Callithrix jacchus: one gene and its partners. The main gene of each other region encodes a partner of the protein of the gene in region 3 in a complex. Links are inferred from orthologs where the notes say so. Each region holds a gene or a part of one and is shown on either strand. Other genes may lie near its edges. The genes, in order: FGFR4, FGFR3 and FGF23.

Evidence for each region.
Region 1: the proteins of FGF23 (region 3) and FGFR4 are in contact, whole or in part, in a cryo-EM structure (PDB 7YSW), measured with the Homo sapiens proteins. The link is inferred for Callithrix jacchus from reciprocal best matches to the Homo sapiens genes FGF23 and FGFR4. Residues at the interface, in NP_065689.1 of Homo sapiens: Leu32, Gly33, Ser35, Trp36, Gly37, Tyr43, Ala45, Thr46, Ala47, Arg48, Asn49, Ser50, Ile75, Arg76, Ser77, Glu78, Asp79, Ala80, Gly81, Val83, Val84, Tyr93, His117, Gln118, Thr119, Asn122, Gly123, Tyr124, Asp125, Leu158; in NP_001341913.1 of Homo sapiens: Glu156, Lys157, Lys158, Leu159, His160, Ala161, Val162, Pro163, Asn166, Asp240, Leu242, Glu243, Arg244, Ser245, Pro246, Lys272, Val273, Tyr274, Ser275, Asp276, Ala277, Gln278, Pro279, His280, Ala308, Asp309, Ile310, Ser312, Gly336, Asn337.
Region 2: the proteins of FGF23 (region 3) and FGFR3 are in contact, whole or in part, in a cryo-EM structure (PDB 7YSU), measured with the Homo sapiens proteins. The link is inferred for Callithrix jacchus from reciprocal best matches to the Homo sapiens genes FGF23 and FGFR3. Residues at the interface, in NP_065689.1 of Homo sapiens: Ser29, Leu32, Gly33, Ser34, Trp36, Tyr43, Ala45, Ala47, Arg48, Asn49, Ser50, His52, Ile75, Arg76, Ser77, Glu78, Asp79, Ala80, Gly81, Val83, Val84, His117, Gln118, Thr119, Asn122, Gly123, Tyr124, Asp125, Leu158, Ser159; in NP_000133.1 of Homo sapiens: Glu157, Arg158, Asp160, Lys161, Leu163, Leu164, Ala165, Val166, Pro167, Arg223, Asp244, Leu246, Glu247, Arg248, Ser249, Pro250, Val277, Tyr278, Ser279, Asp280, Ala281, Gln282, Pro283, His284, Ala312, Gly313, Ala314, Thr316, Thr317, Asp318.

Annotation. Positions count from the first base shown.
Region 1 is NC_133503.1:69,055,483-69,059,226, reverse strand, and holds the start of FGFR4 (fibroblast growth factor receptor 4), read left to right. Parts: upstream 1-1,386; 5' UTR 1,387-1,461; intron 1,462-1,849; 5' UTR 1,850-2,029; exon of another isoform or gene 2,030-2,067; intron 2,068-3,656; 5' UTR 3,657-3,709; coding exon 3,710-3,744. UniProt on the Homo sapiens protein: Tyrosine-protein kinase that acts as a cell-surface receptor for fibroblast growth factors and plays a role in the regulation of cell proliferation, differentiation and migration, and in regulation of lipid metabolism, bile acid biosynthesis, glucose uptake, vitamin D metabolism and phosphate homeostasis.
Region 2 is NC_133504.1:191,347,257-191,350,296, forward strand, and holds part of FGFR3 (fibroblast growth factor receptor 3), read right to left. Parts: intron 2,649-3,040; coding exon of another isoform or gene 2,504-2,648; intron 2,016-2,503; coding exon 1,825-2,015; intron 1,636-1,824; coding exon 1,382-1,635; intron 1,002-1,381; coding exon 880-1,001; intron 802-879; coding exon 691-801; intron 608-690; coding exon 417-607; intron 311-416; coding exon 188-310; intron 112-187; coding exon 41-111; intron 1-40.
Region 3 is NC_133510.1:17,759,731-17,763,374, forward strand, and holds part of FGF23 (fibroblast growth factor 23), read right to left. Parts: intron 3,125-3,644; coding exon 3,021-3,124; intron 1,675-3,020; coding exon 1,234-1,674; 3' UTR 1-1,233. UniProt on the Homo sapiens protein: Regulator of phosphate homeostasis. Inhibits renal tubular phosphate transport by reducing SLC34A1 levels. Up-regulates EGR1 expression in the presence of KL. Acts directly on the parathyroid to decrease PTH secretion. Regulator of vitamin-D metabolism.

The DNA of each region.
Region 1 (3,744 bases), on a different chromosome or scaffold from region 3:
CAGTGGTGCGATCGAGGCTCACTACTGCCTCAACCTCCAGGGCTCAAGCAATCCTCCAGCCTCAGCCTCCCGCGTAGCGGGGACCACAGGTGCCCCTATCCCACTTCCTTCCTTCTCAAGATGCCTTAAGAGAAGCATAGGGCTTGAGATTCAGGTGAGAAATGGGCAGAGATCAGAGGCTGCCTGGCTCCAAATTTAGTCCCAGTCTAGATGCTCAGGAGAGAAGTCAGCCGGGTAGGCATGGAACTAACTGGGAGCACCTACTGTATGCCAGACACTGGAACTATACTGGTGAGGTCTGCAGGCACAGTTCCTCTATTGAAAAATAGAGACAGGGCAACTATGTCACCAGGGCTGGTCTCAAACTCCTGAATTCAAGGGATCCTCCTACCTGAGCCTCCTAGTAGCTAGCACTACAGGCACCCGTCATGTGCCCAACCATTCCACAGCTATTTACATAATTCACTGTTCAGTTACAATTCTTGCAAGTGATGAAGAAATAACAGGTCCTAAATAATTACAGCTAATATTACAAAGCAAGCAGAGCATGCCAGGCTTACACATACTGCTGACATGTCACTTTTTTCAATAACCTCTTGAAGGTGATCCTATCGTTTGCCTGTTTTACTGAAAAGACAGTGAAGACCAAGGCCTTGTGTGATGGTGCTGAGATTTGAGCCTATGATGTCCAGCCCTGCAATCTGTGCTGTGAACCACTTCACTCTGTTTTCTTTCTCCATCCTCACAGTGGAGAAGTCATCTCAGGGGAGCCTGCAAGTTCAGAGGGCTTCCTGGAGGAAGTGAACTGAGAATAATATGAAATTAACCATACCAGGAAGAGGAAATGGTACGTGAAACTGCACAGGGGTTGTAAAGTAGGAGCCAGGAGACTTGGGTCATGGCAATAATCTATGTATAAAGAGCTATGGGAAGCTATAGGAAAAGTTAAGGGAGTGGTTGACACAAATCAGATTTGTGTTCTAAGTATCACACCGAAGGTTGCGCAGAAGACGGGGAAGCCTGGCATTCCCTGAGGGATGAAGAGCAAGGAGCAGAGCTGGGTAGTGGACTAGAATTTGGAAGCCTGGCCTGGGGCCTGGGTAGGGCAAAAGAGGCGGAGCCTGAATGGAGCGTTTGTAGGGGGTGTGCATAGGCTGGGGCGGGGTCCCGGGAGTGGGCTGACCGGGTCGGGGGCGGGGCTCTGGGCCACCCCTGGCGGCGCCTCGCTCCGGCTCGAGCTGATCCAGGCGGGACGGGCCCGATGGGGGCGTGGCAGGAGGTGGGCGGGGAACCAGGGGCGGGCCCGAGGGGCGGGGCAGGAGGTGGGCCGCCCGCGGCCACGCCGCCGTCGCGGGTACATTCCTGGATCCTGGCGGAGGAGCGCTCAGGCTGTCTGCGGACCCTGCCGGGTGCAGGGGTCGCGGCGGGCTGAAGCTAGGAGTGAGGCGGCGGAGGAGCCAGGTAAGCTGGACCCTTTGCCGGGCGTGGAGTCACGCTGCCTCGAGGTGAGCCGGAACCCTTGCGAGCCCGGGCTGCGCTCCCAGCCGCCAGGGGGCGAGCGGCGGCAGGGCTGCGGGGACTGCCCCTCCCGGCGCTGGGGACCTGGGAGTCCGCCGGGCGGCAGGAGGTGGAGGGGGCGGTAAATCAGTAACCCGCAGCGCACACAGGGCCTTTTGTCCCGTTCTGTCCAAAGAGCACCGAGGCCGCGGAGCTGGTTACTCATTGCCCACCGAGGCGGGGGCGGGCAGGCCCTGTGCAGCTACCCTCGGGATCCGCTGATTTGCACCTCCCCCAAGGCTGACCCGGCAGGGGTAGGGGAAGACGAGCGCGCTTGTCCCTCGGCCGCTAGGTGTCTTCGAGCCCGCGCAGAGATGAGGGAGCCAAGGCCCCGAAAGCTTCAGTTACTTACTGCCCGGGAGCCTCCAGCGCATGTGCAGGAGGCTGGATGAGAAGCCAGAACTGTCTGATGCCTAAGGCTGGCCCTCCGTTCCCACGTGCCGGGTGTTCGGTCAGCGGTCAGCAGCCACGGGTGACTCGACTAAGAACTCGGACGTCAGGGCAGCCTGGGTGGGAATACAACTCCTGGGCCTCACCACCCACTCCCAACCCAAGCTGTGTACCCAAAGAGCTGCCCTCCCTGCCAAGCCAAGCTTTGTAGGGAGTTTTACCAAGGAGCTGATTGGATGGATTTGGGAGTTGAGGTGGGCTCAGAGACAGAAGTATCTTGAGGCAGGTAGAGAAGAGGAATGAGGGGCACAGAGGGATGGGCAAGAGAGCACATGTGCCCAGTTTGGAAAGCCAGTGGTTTCAGGGCTCCTGAAGGGGCAGACCATGTGACTAAAGAGATAGGCAGTGGTAGAGAGGGAAGCTTAGGATGTTGAGCTGGATCCTGCTGGGAACAGGTAGCCATTAAGGGCTTGCAATCTGGGGGCACAACATGGCAGACTTGAAGTTTTTTAAAACCCTGCTGGAAGATGAAGGTTGAAGAGCCCCGGGAGAGGATGTTTCCAAAGGCCCATGCAAGAGATGACCATGACCTGCCCTGAGTAGGGGCAGGGGAAGCCAGATGGACTGGATGTGGGGTGGCAGTGACCAAGGAGAAGGAGGTGTAATGGGCTTCCCACACAGGGTAAATCCAGAGAGGCTGGTGCCACCTGTAGCCCCCTAGGACTACAGTGGTCACCATATTCCTTTGTCTCAGCTGAGACTCAGTTCTGAGCATTCCATTTTGGGGAACAAAAGTGTCCTTCGTAGCATCTGGAAAAGGATAGCCGGCTGGGGTATGTGTACATCACAGCCTGACAGGAACAGCGCCCGAACCAGAGGCGACTGGCTGAGGGCAGAGCCAGGGCAATAGGTGAACAGTTCTAGAGCCAGGCATAGGGAGGAGAACATTCCAACACTCTGTGTGCCCAGTTCCAACACACATTATCTTATGTCTTTTATCCTCAAAGCATTCCTATGAGGATAGTAGCCCAGAGAGGGATGGAGGCAAGGAGTTACAAGTTGGTAAGAGTCAGGATTTGAACTTGGCTCCAGTGGATGGATAATTAGGGTCTATATTCTTTACAAAACCATGCATGCCTCAGATGGAGTTGGGGCATAACAAGCAGGGGTATCCAGGGATGTGGTCCTGCTTGCCACAGAAGGCACTGCCTTGTGAGCACCCAGCCCTGGAAATGTCAGTAATGCTGTAAGGAGCAGGGATCAGATCAGATAACATCCAGATGCTGAAGTTTGGCATTGTATTATTTTTCACTTTCTTTTTTGGCTCTTTGGCCATCAGTTCATTTATTCAGCAAGAAATAAAGTATGTGTGCCAAGAGCATGCAGAAGATAAGTCTCCATTCTCTACTTCCCTCTGAGAAAAGAATCCCAAAACTGCTTTCTGTGAACATGTGCCAGGGTCCCAGCAGGACTCAAGGAGAGCAGGAAGCCCAGCCCAGCCCGCTTGCACAACCTACTGTGGGGAGGCCTTGGGCTCTGGCCACAGCAGAGCTGGTTCCAGTCTGCACTGCCACAGCCTGGCCCGGGACTTGGACACATCTGCTGACCACTTCCTGTCTTGGTTTCCTCGTCTGCAAAATAAAGGAAAAGCACCCGCAAAGGTGCACGTGTAGCAGCAGCTCTTTTCCCTCCCTCCCTCCCTGTTTTAGGAAGGCAGTTGTTGGGAAGTCCAGCCTGGGTCCCTGAGAGCTGTGGGAAGGAGATGCAGCTGCTGTTGGCCCTGTTGGGATTCCTGCT
Region 2 (3,040 bases), on a different chromosome or scaffold from region 3:
TACCGCCTCCACCCGAGGCCGGGGTCCGCAGGACACATACACGTCACTCTGGTGGGTGTAGACGCGGTCAAACAGGGCCTCAGGTGCCATCCACTTCACGGGCAGCCGGCCCTGGAAGAGGTGGGAAGGCAGTGTTGGCACGAGGCGCCCCCAGCACGCCCCGCCCCACCCCACAGGCCAGGCTCACGTTGGTGGTCTTCTTGTAGTAGTCGAGGTTGTGCACGTCTCGGGCCAGTCCAAAGTCGGCGATCTTCATCACGTTGTCCTCGGTCACCAGCACATTGCGGGCGGCCAGGTCCCTGTGGATGCACTGGGAAGGGGTGGGGGCAGGGCTGAAGCCTCGACGCCTCTCCCATTGCTCCCAGGATGGCAGAGCCGTCCGTGCCCACTCCACCCACACCTGCTGCCCTGCTCACCTTCTGGGAGGCCAGGTACTCCATGCCCCGGGCCACCTGGTAGGCACAAGACACCAGGTCCTTGAAGGTGAGTTGCTCCTCGGGCGGCTTGCAGGTGTCAAAGGCGTAGTCGAGGCCGGGGGGCCGCCGCGCCCGCAGGAACTCCCGCAGGTTGCCCTTGGCGGCGTACTCCACCAGCACGTACAGGGGCCCTGGGGGCACGGGCTCCTCAGAGGGGCTGCCAGGCCCAGGAGGGCCGCCCGACCTGCGCCGCAGCCGCCAGCGCCCCACCTACCGCCCTGCGTGCAGGCGCCCAGCAGGTTGATGATGTTCTTGTGCTTCCCAATCATCTTCATCATCTCCATCTCCGACACCAAGTCCGACAGGTCCTTGTCAGTGGCATCGTCTGGGCAAGGAGGGAGACTCTTTGTCAGGTGGTGGCGCCCCCAGCCCTGCCCTGCACCCCTGGCCGCCCTCTCCTCACCTTTCAGCATCTTCACAGCCACAGTGACGGGTTTGGCAGCCCGGTCCTTGTCGATGCCGATGGCCTCCGCCATGACCACCTGGCCAAAGCAGCCCTCCCCGAGGGGCTTGCCCAGGGTCAGCCTGGCAGCAGAGGCAGAGAGACCCATGAGCATACAAGCTCGCCCACTCGCAGCCTGCCACAATCCCCACCCCAGCCGGGCCCAGCCCTTAAGGCCCAGAGCCCCCACTTCCAGGAAGCCCTCCATGCTCATCCTGCAGCCTGCTCATGAGGATGAAGACTGTCACCCACCGGCCTTCTGCCCCTGCTGCCTCTCCAGACAGGGCACCTTGAGAGGGGCAGTCCCTGCCATGAACCCCTCCCAGGAGCATCTCCAGAGAGAGGAACAGCTCCAACATCCTCCACGTCCTTGATGGCCCCGAACCCGGCGGGTCCTCTGCCTGGTGTTTCACCCCCACCACTGAGCCCCCTACAGCCCACGCTGGCCCTCAGCGCCACTGACCGGGCCCGGGACAGCTCCCATTTGGGGTCGGCGGGCAGCTCAAGCTCAGAGACGTTGGCCAGCGCTGGGCCCTCCCCCGAGGACAGCCTTGCGATCCGCACCAGCGGCGTGTTGGAGCTCATGGACGCGTTGGACTCCAGGGACACCTGCTTGGGTCGGCAGGGGCAGGTTGGCGCCGCGTGGAGGACAGGGCGTGGGGGTGCAGCCGGGGGTCGCTGTGGGCTGGAAGGGGGGCGCTCTGACTTCCACCAGCGCTGAACAAAGACCATTAGAACGTTTTGTGCCCCAGAGTACCCTGGGCTCTACGTGGTGACCAGAGACAAGGGGAGGTGAGCCCTCCTGGCTGCAGAGGGTGCTGCACAGCCCAAGGCCAACAGAGGCCAAGGGGGCTCCAGAGGCCAGGCGGGCAGGCAGCTCAGAACCTGGTATCTACTTTCTGTTACCTGTCGCTTGAGCGGGAAGCGGGAGATCTTGTGGACGGTGGGGGAGCCCAGGCCTTTCTTGGGGGGACTGCGCAGGCGGCAGAGCGTCACGGCTGCCACCACCAGGATGAACAGGAAGAAGCCCACCCCATAGCTGAGGATGCCTGCGTACACACTGCCCGCCTCGTCGGCCTCCGCCAGCTCCTCCTCAGCTGCAAAGACACACGCGTTGGGGCCTGGCCTGGCCCCCCCCGAGCCCCATGGGTGCCCCTGGCCCAGAGCCACAGGCAGCACTGGGAGCGGGAGGGGGCTCAGAACCCCAGCATCCCCGTTGTCTGGGGGGGGTCCTGTGGTCAGAAACACCGATGAGTCAGGAGGGCCAGACCCTGGAGAGGAGGTGCCCAGCAGAGCCAGCCAGCCCCACACCGCCACCAGGCACCCAGGAGACACCAGAGCCACAGGAGGGGCCTTTGGGGACCCGGATGGGAAGGGGGCTCAAAGGGGCTGATGGGGCCCCTCTAGGACCAGGTCTGGGCCTGGCTGGGCCAACTTTGTCCTCACACTGGGCACAGGGCCAGGTGTGAGGGATCGAGGAGTGGGGCGGCCATAAGCCACAGGGTTCCCTTCCGTCCTGGAGGCTCTGGCGTGTCCCAAGCCAGCGTCCCCGACAGTGCGGGGCAGCAGCCGCAGAAGCCGGTACCTGGCAGCACCACCAGCCACGCAGAGTGATGGGAAAAGCCAATAGAATTGCCCGCCAGGCAGGTGTACTCCCCGGCGTCTTCGAAGGTGACGTTCTGCAAGGACAGAACCTCTAGCTCCTTGTCGGTGGTATTAGCCCCCGCCGTCTACAAAGAGAGAGCAGAGCGATAGGAGAGAGCCAGCACCGGCCTGCAGGCACCGCAGAGTCCACACGGCAGCATCCAGCCACTGCAAGGAGAACGCCGCCACCACCAACTCCTCGAGGCCGAGTCGGCCGCCCCGTGCGGCCCTCCGCCGGGTCACCGGCACCCGAGTCCGAAGCCAGGCCCCTCCACCGGCGAGTCCTCTGTCCCAGGTGAGCGACAGGCGGGCAGGCAGGCAGCATGCGGGTAAGCGCAGGGCCGGGCGGGTGCGGGTGGAGGAGACGGACACACAGACACACGGGCTGCAGAAGCGAGCGCGCAGCGGCCACTGGGAGAGGCGGAAGGGGACGCTCACAGACGGCACTGGGCTGGGCCACGTGGGCACCAGGCGCCTG
Region 3 (3,644 bases):
AGATGTGTCAGCCTAGGAGTGTTTTCACTGTCCCGAGAGCCAGTGCTGCCGCAGAGACCTAGAGACCACAGCCACGATCCCGACCATGTGGTTGCCTTTTGGTAACTTCTGTAACATGTCCCCTGGTTATTGGATTTCTTTCCCCTTGAGTCCTTGATGCCACTTCACTTAGAGAAAAGGAGATGATTTTTCAGTCCACAGAAAACCTAACCCAGAGCGGTCCCCATGTCTCAAGGCCCCCTTCTCGGTCACCTTGTTATTGTTTGTTCGGAATGGATTACTACTCAACCTGGAAGTACAGCCTTAATTAAATGCCTCTTAGGAGAGTTGGAATTTATTTCCATTTTGAAAATACGGAATCTAGCAGGGTAGATTTTCATGAGCCAATATAAAAGCGATTCCTAAGACCAAATTTTCAAAAACCGGAGATGGGGCTAAGAGGTGAGGCTGTATCATGAGCCACTTGGGAACAGAGTGGGGCCGTTCTGGGCCCTCTGCCTGTGGCTGCAGAGAGGGAGACAGCGAGACACAGGGTGCCCACCCTGCGGGGAGGCTGTGTTTTCTATTATGATTCATGCCTCAGTTCAGCAAGCATCAAGTCTAGTCGTCAAGTTTTCACCAGCCTGCCAGTGGTGTTTTGACAGCTCTTCTCCAGAGATGTTCAAGGAGGAATGGAGGCTTGGAAGTAGTTTTCATCAACTTGCCCCATTCAGCTGTCAATGTCAAGGTCTGCACACTCAAATGCCAGTGGGATCGCGGCATGTAACATAAAAAACACACAGGGCAGTGGGGAGGCTTCTGGGATCTCCGGAGCTCCTCTTCCCTACACCTTCAAAGTTGTGAGCTCAGTAACCCACTGCTTTTTTTTTTTTTTTTTTTTTTTTTTTTTTTAATGCTTAAAGGTGATAAAGAAGAGAGGCCCAAGGAAGAGAAATATGTCGGGGAGAGACCCTTTTTCTCTACCTCTAGGAAGGAGAAATTTCTGGTTTACCTGTTGGGGTTTCCTATTCAGAAAGATGCTCTATGTGGAGTGAGGAAGGCGGTGAAACCCCATGACTTGAGCGTCAAAGGTCGATTCTCATAGGACCTCCTGGGGAAGGGGCCCCAGAGAAGCCGCCAATTCCATACCTGACCCCCGTCACCTTTCCCAGCCTCGAAACGGCAAGGGAGCTGGTCCTTGGGAAGAGCTGCGTTTGCTGAAGGATGGGTTAAAGAGGGTGCCCTTCCAGCGGCCTAGATGAGCTTGGGGAAGGGGCTGCAGCCTTCTGGGCCTGTTCCCTCAGCGTGGCTGTTCACCCGACCACCCCGGACCATCCCTAAGGGGTCGCTGCCCACCGGGCTGTTGTCCTCGGCGCTCAGGAGCTCCTGCGAGCAGGAGGCCGGGGCCGGGGTCATCCGGACCCGGGACTTCAGCACGTTCAGGGGGTCTAGCTCCGGGTCGTCCTCGGCGCTCCGGGTGTGCCGCCGCGGTTTGGGGGTGTTGAAGTGAATGAGGGGGATCTCGTTCCTCCGGGACAGGAACTGGGAGTACGGGGGTGGGTTCATGCCTGGCAGGAAGGCCCTCTTCGCCCGGCCCAGACTGACCAGGAAGTGATGCTGAGGAGACTGGTAGACGTCGTACCCGTTCTCCAGCCTCTGGGGTCGGAACCTGCAGTTCTCCGGGTTGAAATAGTGCTGGAACGGCAAGAGTGAACCTCGTGAAGATGGGCCGGCGGGGGCCCCCCATCCCCCAGCTCCTTCTGGGGCCACGTGCTCCTGCCCGCCAGCCTGAAGCCCTGCAGTGCCTGGGGCGTTGGGCCTTCATTCCATGGTTCCCTGCTAGGGTAAGGTGGTTTTGACTATGCCAAGCAGGATGGCTCCCCACTTGAGAGACCACTGGGGTCTGCGCCCACTGCCTGGAGGCCCGGGCTGGCCTGGCCTGTGGTTTTCCTGGAGTAGGCACCACCTCGTCCGTCCCGCCCTCTACCTTTTTCAAGCCTCTGCTGGCTGAAAGTTGTCTTGGCTTTGTCTCCTTACTGGAGAAAGGAAGGTCAAACATGAATGAGGACATTGACGTCAGAGAGATGATACGGTATAGGGATTGGAGACATGAACTCTGCCGACAGAGGAGCTGAGTTTGAATCCCCTACCACTAGCCCTGGGTTTTACTGAGTGCCCCCACCAAGGCCTTTGCATGTTATTTCTTATAATCCCCAAACTCCGCATAGTAAGCAGTTTACAGACCGGGACTATCTACACGCCTAGACGGGTTCAACAGATTTTAGTTAGTTACCTGTATTTCAATAGTTGTTCAACAGATTTTTTTTGACCCTACTCTAGCCAGACACGGCTGTAGGGGCTGGGATGCAGCAGAAAGCAAAACAGAAGCCTCTGTTCCTGCGGAGTTTCTGGTGGGTATGACTGGTAGCAAGAGACTCCTGAGAGAAGCAGTCCTACTATTTTACTACCTCAAAATCCTCAAAAAGAAGCCAGTGGCCTTTAGTTTGGGAAATCCTTTGCTCACCAATCCCAGTGAATAGCTATCACAATTGGGGCAGGGGTAATTCATTAAAGATCTTCAACTGGAGGGAGCTCCACAGGTCATGTGGTCTATTCCACTCCACTTTTTCCAAGTGAAAATGCTGAAGTTTGGAGTGAGGAGATTTAGCTAAAGTCACAGCTAGTCCCAGAATCAAGAGGACACCAATGGCTTTTCACTCTTTCTAATGTACTTTACAATGTGAATTGACATGACTTGAGGACCTATGACTGCATCCCAGTGCCTGTGCTAGATCCAAGAATGGTTGTGAATGGGCAGTGCAGACTCGGAGCTGAGAGCCTGGGATCTAGAGCCTGACTGCCTAAGTTCAAACCCCAGCTATTAAACCTGAGCATTCAGTACTTAGACTGCATGAAGTACTCAGCGGAAACGGGTCACCAGGGTACACTGCAAATGGAATTGTTAAGCTAGAAAAGTCTATGTCCTGTCAAAAAATTAGATAATTCTTTGCAAATGGCAACCAACACAAAAAGAAACTCACTGATCCAAAAATGTTGCCTCTGAAATCCATGCAGAGGTATCTTCTGCTCATCACACCTGTAATCACCACAAAGCCAGCATCCTCTGATCTGATCAGCAGGGCACCTACGGAGAAAACCATGCGGGACAAAGATTCATAGCACATCCAATTTCCACCTTCAAGTACCTCCTGAAAACCCACCTTCATGAAACCTCCTGGATTGATTTTAAGGGTGGTGATGACTTCAACACCCTTAAATTCAGCCTCATTTCTACATAGTCTTCCTTTCTTCTGACATCCTCTCTTAACCCCAGCACATGTGTAGTCATTCACCTCCTGCTTCATCTTGTTGCCTGTATGGGGCACTCTGAACTCCTGACATTCGTCTACAAGTGCTGAACACATGTTTCTCTCTCTCTACCTGGACTGTCTTTATTTTCTCCTTTGACTTGCTAATACCTTTGAATGTTTGTGCTGATAGTTACATTGTTTCATGCCTTCTACTTTGTGATTTTTAAATCTATGCTGAGATAGGCCAGGTGCAGTGGCTCACACCTGTAATCCCAGCACTTTGGGAAGCTGAGGTGGGCGGATCATGAGGTCAGGAGTTCGAGACCAGCCTGACTAACATGTTGAAACCCTGTC